Linked DNA regions of Ovis aries. The protein of the gene in region 1 purifies or fractionates together with the protein of each later gene. This does not show direct contact. Links are inferred from orthologs where the notes say so. Each region holds a gene or a part of one and is shown on either strand. Other genes may lie near its edges. The genes, in order: DNAAF10 and CCT3.

Region 1 (3,818 bases):
AATTAAAAAAAAATTCTGATAGTTGCTTTACAATGTTGTGTTAGTTTCTGCTGTACAACGTGAATCAGCCACACATATACGTATATACTCTCTTGGATTTCCTTCCCATTTATTGTTGACTAATTTCTTAAACCAGCTAGTCTCCTTGTGATTGCTCTTAAACTACAAAATAATAGTCATTACCAATGAAGGCCTTTATTATTAATATAATCAAGAAATATGAAACTGACAAACTTTAGGAAAGTATTCTTTGCACAGAATAACTTATCAAGATCCTATAAGAATATATTAAAAATAGCTCCCTTCATGCAAAAAACCTGGAAGGAACCTGGTGACTCATTCTATTTATTAGTCTAAAGCAAGCTATTAATATGAACATTCCTCTTCATAGAAAGATATTTCCCTCATCTTTACCTTTTCTGAAACAGAAGCAAAACCTTTGGTTGGATGCTGTGTTCTCATGTCAAAAACATGAAACTTTCCTTCCAGAGATGTAGCTACTAACTTATTCATACTTATGTCTTTTCTGTCAAACTCCAAGCTACACACCTGAAAATAGAGAATATTTATGAGTGATGCTCCAATCATTATATCCAAGAGTTTCTTTCAAACCAAGTAAAACAACTGTAACATTATTGGATTATGTGAAAGCACTTTAAAAAAAATCATTTTATCTTTTGAATCTGTATACCGAATACTTGTAACTAGAAAATTTTCTTCTCGGTTAGTAAGGTCCCAAAATCATCTCAGGCACTGAGGTACATTTGGAAAGCCATACTTTAACATTTTACCATTATTACATAATGATTTTATAAAGTCAAGTCAAGGCTGACTAGAGGAAACAGGAAGGAACCACATTCTTCACTAAAGATGTACAACCCGGGAACCAAAAAACCTGTGAGTACCTGGGAGTCAATTACAGTCTTGGTCTTCCTGATATTACCAGAAAAGGGCCTGGTACCAGCTCACTTTAACATCACACTGCATAGCCCACAGGCATCTAGAGATGGGCTACAGGGGCGGTGACCCACCAGGCACTGTCACACCACACCTGGCTGTGTGTTCTCCTTCTGAAGAGTGTCCCTGATTTTTAATCAGATCCTCAAAGGACTTCACAGACCCTAAAGGTTAAGAACCATCCATCCATAAAGGGGTTTTACTGAGACGAGTTATTAGGGGTGCTTTCCTTTTGTAGTTCAGAGGTACGTGGAAAAGACATTCAGAGAAACTGCAAAGAATGCAAATGCAGATTACCCCATTTTTTATATTTGTCTCCCACCGTAAGGACATATTTCTGAGATCAAACAGCTTGATGTCTCCGTTGTCATAGCCAGCACACACGACACGTTCCTCTTGATTATAAGCATTGCCTGGAAATCAGGACATGACATTTCAGATCTTTTTAAATGCTGATTTGAAGGCTGCTTAAAAAACTTATGGACATCCGAGACTAACAACATTGTAAATCAACTATACTCCAATAAAAAACAAAACAATAATCTTACAGAACTACACAGGTAACTTGTACCAAATCAAGTGAAGAAGTCACATTGGATAGAATCTCATTTTACTAATCCTACAGGACATCAAGATTATTAATTTAGTCTCTGATATTGTTTACCAAAAAAACTCTTTATTGAGATTCTGTGCTCAAGAGATATATGAAAGAAAGTGTTTACTGGATTTTAAATTGAAACCAAATATTCTTTCTATACTCTATTTGCAAAGACTAACAATTTAACATAGCAGGGTTCGGTAGAATAAATACAGTTACACTTCCAATGCTTTCTTTGCATGCAAATGGAAACTACTTTAAACTTATTTATTTTGCAAAATGTTGTTCTGGTGTTATCTGATGCTCACAATTGAAGTAAATCTACAACCTGCAGTTGAATTCACCTTGCTCGGATCCAGGAATTTTTTTGGATTACTCCCTCTTCTTATAAACTCCAGCCCTGCATTTCCACTGGAGGGTTCACTGAGATGACATGACAGCAGCTGAAACCTCTGATGTCTAAAACTGATGTCATCGTCTTCCTTTAAAAACTATCATACACTCTGTGGAACTCCTTCAATAAACATCATTCACTTCATAGTCAACCTCAAAATTCAGTCACTTTGGACATAATCCTTTCCCTTGTTCTTCATCTCCAAAAAAATTGCCAAAGTGTATTTATTTTGCCACATTATTTCTTTTTCTTTTTCTTTGCCACATTATTTCTGAATTCACTCCTCTGTTCCATTCTCACTGCTTCTTAACCCTACATGTTTCCTGGAATACTGCAAAGAGCTTCAGAACTCACACTTCCTCTGCCACTCCTCCCGCCTACCCGGCCACAGTGTAAAGCTAAAGCTCTGATCATATCTCCTCCTTGCAGAAGCCTGCGAAGGTTTACCACTACCTCCAGACCATCTAAACGCCTCTGGCTGTGGCCACGTGCCACCTTTAAGGCTAGTCCTACCTCCATTCCTTCTACATACTCGAAATCTCCCCATTTCAGTGTTTCAAATCCTACAAATCCTTGGACTGAGGTCAATATGTTCTTTTGGCTGCCTTGGGATTCCTTCTGTGTTGACCCATGCCTCTGTGACCTTTCATCACTCTGACCTTGTAGGAGTAATACAATTAATGTATCACTTTTTATACATTAGAGCACCTTTTATACTTGTAGCACTTTTTATTAAAGTTACCAGCTTCTTTAATTTAAAATAAGAATCTGCTTCCGATAAATGTCCTTTCTTTAATGTCCTATATTTAAAACTGCACTTACATCCCTTAGAACAATGATTAAAAAGCCTTTAATGGGCCCAAAGTTAATTATTTTTTAATTATTTCATAAATTTTACATGATGATTCTAAACACTAATTCTGAAATTTCTTCCCAAGTGTACATGTTTTTGGCTTATATCATTACTTATACATACACACATAGTAATTATAATATATACACATAGAAATCTCCCAATTTCAGTGGTAATTTAGTTTTAAAAGTATATTAATAGAGGAACATGGTTATAAAATTCGTAAGATATAATTTTATAATAGTATAACTATTTTTAGAAAATAAACACACACCGTGTAGAGCATAATGTGAGACTGGTTAGGTTACCATCTAAGGCTCTACTTAATTTCACTAATGGCATTGGGTTCTAAACTAGGTCAATATCACCAGGTTAAACAAAAATAAATAATAATACTCCATATTTTTGAACACTTGATATCTAAGCACAAGTCTAAGCATTTTACGTGTATTAACTCTGAATCCTCATAACAAAACTATTAAGTAAATTCTATTATGACTTTCATTTTATAAATGAACCAAGCAAAAATCAGAGAAGCCTAATAACTTGCCCCAGGTTACAAAGCCAGTTAAGTAGCACAGTGAGAATTCAAACCCAGGCCCAATCACCATGTCTATCTGCCTCGATAAACTGCCAGAATAATGTACAGAAGAGATTCTAAACTATCAGGACTTTCCTGAAGCACTGTGCTTTTTATAATCTGGCATTTCAGGTGTAAGAGTCCATCGGTAATTTACCAAATGCCACAGTCCAGCAGTCTCTCTTGTTTTCTCCCTGCACGGGTTCCATATTAGCAACAGGATCATCTTTCTGCCGTGGGTCCCACACCTTTACGGTTCCTGACAGAAAAAAAACAGGAGTTGGCAAAATTTAACAGTGAATGATGGCATTTCTTTCTGCATTCTCTTCACATGGCTTCCTATGTACATGGAGATATTATAGCTGTTACAATATCTGAAAAACAGTCATGTTTTTCTGACTTGTTATTGGGCAAGTTGTACTTAATATAAGAGCTA
Region 2 (4,310 bases), on another chromosome or scaffold:
ATCTGACACACACCTCTTTTGTTAGTAGGATGACTAGGAAGCTGCTCCATCTGAACATCCACAGGTGTGGTGCCTGGGGAAAAAAAATCATAGTATCTCATGACTGACAACCCATCTTACTGTTTCACTATTAACAATTTCTCAAGTTCTCCCCAGTAGAGCTCAGGCTGTTCCAATTTGGAGAGGAAAAAGTGTGAAAGGATGTACTGTCTTAGTTTATGGCTAAATAGAAGTAACTGTTTTTGAATTGTTTTTGGTCTCACGGCCCTTCCTTTAGTTTGGAAAACAGCTATTTCCTTTTTTTTCTGGACAAAAGAGTACTTTAACCACGCCTAAACCTTAAGAGTCTCCTATGAACGGGCAAATATTCTGTGTTCTCTCGTTTTAATTTCTGTAGTATCAGTCCTTTTCCTATTCTGTAGGGTTATTTTAAAACTCTTGCTCTCCAGCATCTCCAATGAACCTGCAGCTGAGGCGATGAGGAGGGCACGGGAGGGAATGGGCGTGGAGAAAGAAAATCTTGAGAGCACTACAGGAAACACTTGTTTTGAATAGGACAACTCGGGGAAAAACTTAAGCCATCACCTCCTGGTACCGCTGACAGCCTCAGAATAAAGCATCTGCCTAAGAAAGGGAAAGTCCACGCAGAGCAACGAGTCAGAGATAATAAACCACAATTCCCAGCGCGCCGGGAAGAACAGTCACCGCTCAGCCCAGTCGGATTGGACTACAACTCCCATTTCACCCGGCATCAAACCGGCCAGGTCTTCTCTCGACAGCCGGTTTAGGTCCCGCCCCTCTATGCCTCCCCGTTGCTAAGGCTGGAATGAAAGCGTGGAACTGCCACGCCTTTCTTGACCTTCGCGGCCCGAGAGAAGCCTAGACGCCAGAGTTTAATGACCTCACCTGCGGTGTTAATCGAAAGCCTCAGCCCCAGCACCCACCCTTGTAGTTGATACACATGCGCAGTGGCGTGCCGGCCAACTGCCGGAGCCTCGGCGCTTGCGCTGAGGTTCGCGCCGCACGCGGCCGGGAGCGGCCACCCTATTGCGCAAGCGCCTGTGCCCTCGCATTTCTATCATCGTGCTTTCTCTATCTAACTTGCCCTGCGTTCTTACGCAGGGGGTGGGGCTAAGAATGTCAATTGGTGTGTTTTCGTGCCGGTCAGTAAGATGCATGCAGTGATTGGTGGTGACTCAGAGAGTAGCGGGTTTAGGTGTGAGCCCAGAGGAGGCAGCGTTTTCTGGTCTTCTCTCTGGTTCTCTCTCTCCAGAAGGTTCTGCCGGTTCCCCCAGCTCTGGGTACCCGGCTCTGCATCGCGCCGCCATGATGGGTCATCGTCCGGTGCTCGTGCTTAGTGAGTTGTGGGGAAGGATGGGAAGGGACTCCCCTCGCCGCAGCCCCCCTTTCCGCACTTTACAGCCTTGCCCCAGCCCAGTCGCACCCTGGTTCGGCCACGGAGCCTTCCAGTCGTTCATTTTGAAAGCCCCTTCTCCCGTCTCCCCCTTTTCTTAACCCATTCCCCTGTCTTCCGCAGACGCAAATTGACCTTACCCTCGCCGAACGCGAGGGTTTGTCTTTCCAGGCAAGTGACCTCGGAGAGATGCTTCCCACTCTGCGTTCCGTTCTTCACTCCCAATCCTTGCCCCTGCACGTTTTTCCTTGAGCGATTTTCAGTGTGTAGCTGAATGAATAAATGTTTTTTAATTTGACCTAGCTTTATAATCTTGGTCTATCCTTTAATAGTGGTGTGGCTCCGGCCAAATAAAAATCGAAATAGTTCTATCTTAATTATTAGGGTTAACAGTATTTCCTCGTAGAATTGTGAGGCTTAAATGAGATAAGTAGATACAATTGTTTAAAAGAGGGTCTGGCAAACAGCGAGTTTCCTTGGCCATTTTTTTTTTTTTGATAACTGTTTTGAATTTCCTTTTGTCAACCCCTGTTCCTGATGTAACCCTGCCTCTCTCACTGATCATATTATATTAGATGTAATTATCCCTGCAAATGTCTGCTCCGTTGTAATCTTTCCCACTTTAAGAACTGAGTTTTCCCGATTTCTTAATTGGTTCTTTTTACCTTCGGGAACATCCCAGATTTCAAGTCCCATTTCACTTGTCTTCCCCTGGTATGTTTCTATCCTGTGTAACTTCTGTACCTCATCCTGCATGATCACTTGACATGCTTGACTAGCCATTTTGCCTTTCTCACCATCTCATCTTCTGTGTAAAGAATGCTATTCCGAGATTTTATCTATTTTCTCTACACCTGGAAAATAGTTATTTTAAGACAAGCATTCGCTTAACCCAGGGGGAAAAAAAAAAACAAACTATTTTTTCTGATGAATGCATCAGAAAGATCCATGCAGGATTTTAGTTAACACTGCTTGAAATAGGGATCTAAATCCAGAGAGTTGTGTTTAGATTTGATGGGACCAGATCGAAAATTTTACAACAACTTGTAGGGAAAACATAGTTTGGAGAAAGGAGTGAGAAAAACAATACATTGGTTCAGTTAGGGCCATTGGCTTTTCTCTCATTGAAAGGGCCCTAGGGTGAGTTAGTGGTGCATTGTGCAACCTTTCTGAGGTCCCTGTTAATCCTTGGCATTAGCAGCTGTAACTGATTCTGCTCCCTGTTAAAGTATATAGTACACTGTTACTGGTGGGAAGTTGGTACCCGAGGCATTCTGATTATATCCAAGCATGAAGTGACCATATCTTGCAAACCCCAATACTTTTGAGTGTGTGTTCTCATTCCACAGCACACTGGGGGTCACTGTCAATAATTTATGCTGGGACTGTGGGTATGGTTCACCATATCCTAGTATGAGAATGCAAACTCCCAAACTCTCCCTTGTTATATAAAGGAGAGATTCATGCTTTTTTAGGGACACCAGCCCTTTGAGAATCCAATACATGAGTATAAATACACGAGTGTTTGGTTAGAGGGAAAGTGATGACCAAGATTCCACAGTTGAAGCTGTGTGGATTGTTTCTTATTATATCAGGAATTGAAGTAAATAAGTAAGTAGCCATAAGTATGTGTGCTTATTTTTTAATAGTTTGTTGAGATATAATTGATTTAAAGAGTACAAGTCGATAAGCTTTAATCAGTGTATACATCCATGAAACCTGGGTGTGTGCTTATTTTCAAAGATTAGGGAGTAGCTTATATACAGTGGAGCAATACTGGTCTGTCGCCTTTTTTTTTTTTTTTAAGGATAATTGCTTTACAGAATTTTGTTGTTTTCTGTTGAACCTCAACTTGAATCAACCATAGGTATACATATATCCCCTCCCTTTTGAATCTCCCTCCCATGCCTTTTGTTTTTATCTGTTTTAGGCCAGAACACAAAGCGTGAATCTGGAAGAAAAGTGCAATCTGGAAACATCAATGCTGCCAAGGTAGCATGCGTTGTTTATAATAGTTTGCCTGTATTTGTGTTTGTGTGTTTGTTTGTGATCTAATGGAAGAAAATTTGATTTCCTTTCCTTCAAGACATTTCCCTTTTGGTGGTAAGGAGGAAGAAGCCTTCCCTCTCTGAGATGTGTCTAATGGCCTTCTCATATTGTGCATATTATATTGCGTGTTTGTGTCTGTCTCCCATACTAGACTGAGTTACTTGGATACAAGAACTATATTAATTCCCTTTTGTATTCCTAGTACTCACTGTGGATCCTGGATAGGTATATTCAGTAAATACCTTTTGAATGAAAGAATGAAACAGCCCTGGATATAATCTAGCATGGGGTGGAACCACTCTCATGGAAGGAAGTACAGATATGTGGACTCTCAGTTACCTGTGAGCTGCTGGGAAACTGTAGCTGTGAGAGCTGTGTCCCTTTTTTTCCTTTTGAAAAGTTATTCCTTTGCACATCCAGAAAACATTCCCAAAGGGGGAAAGACAACAGAATCTAGCCATATGACACCCTATATTGAAAGTTAGTTGCCAACCCTACTACTTTAGAAGTGTCCTTGTTAAAACACTGGCTCTGTGGGTTGCCCATGCCCCTTCCCCTGAAACGCACAATCACCAGCCTCTGGTTTGTGCTTAACACGTTTTGTATTTTCTTTCCAATAGACTATCGCAGATATCATCCGAACATGTTTGGGACCGAAGTCTATGATGAAGGTAGGCTTATCTCATGCTGAAACTTCAGCTACACATTTTTCCTTTCTGTTTTCTGGGGCACTTAAATATAACTTTTGCTTTGGTCCTAGATGCTTTTGGACCCCATGGGAGGTATTGTGATGACCAATGATGGCAATGCCATTCTTCGAGAGGTATGACTTTTCATTTTGTTTTCT

What was found.
Region 2: the proteins of DNAAF10 (region 1) and CCT3 purify together in Homo sapiens (affinity purification with mass spectrometry; 3 studies listed by BioGRID and IntAct, counting the BioPlex papers as one, with this or other methods). This does not show direct contact. The link is inferred for Ovis aries from reciprocal best matches to the Homo sapiens genes DNAAF10 and CCT3.

The regions. Positions count from the first base shown.
Region 1 is NC_056056.1:40,186,247-40,190,064, reverse strand, and holds part of DNAAF10 (dynein axonemal assembly factor 10), read right to left. Parts: intron 3,642-3,818; coding exon 3,540-3,641; intron 1,371-3,539; coding exon 1,255-1,370; intron 550-1,254; coding exon 415-549; intron 1-414. UniProt on the Homo sapiens protein: Key assembly factor specifically required for the stability of axonemal dynein heavy chains in cytoplasm.
Region 2 is NC_056054.1:106,315,947-106,320,256, reverse strand, and holds the start of CCT3 (T-complex protein 1 subunit gamma), read left to right. Parts: upstream 1-1,261; 5' UTR 1,262-1,326; coding exon 1,327-1,357; intron 1,358-3,344; coding exon 3,345-3,406; intron 3,407-4,083; coding exon 4,084-4,134; intron 4,135-4,223; coding exon 4,224-4,286; intron 4,287-4,310. Other genes in the region: TSACC (TSSK6-activating co-chaperone protein), read right to left, coding at 14-50. UniProt on the Homo sapiens protein: Component of the chaperonin-containing T-complex (TRiC), a molecular chaperone complex that assists the folding of actin, tubulin and other proteins upon ATP hydrolysis.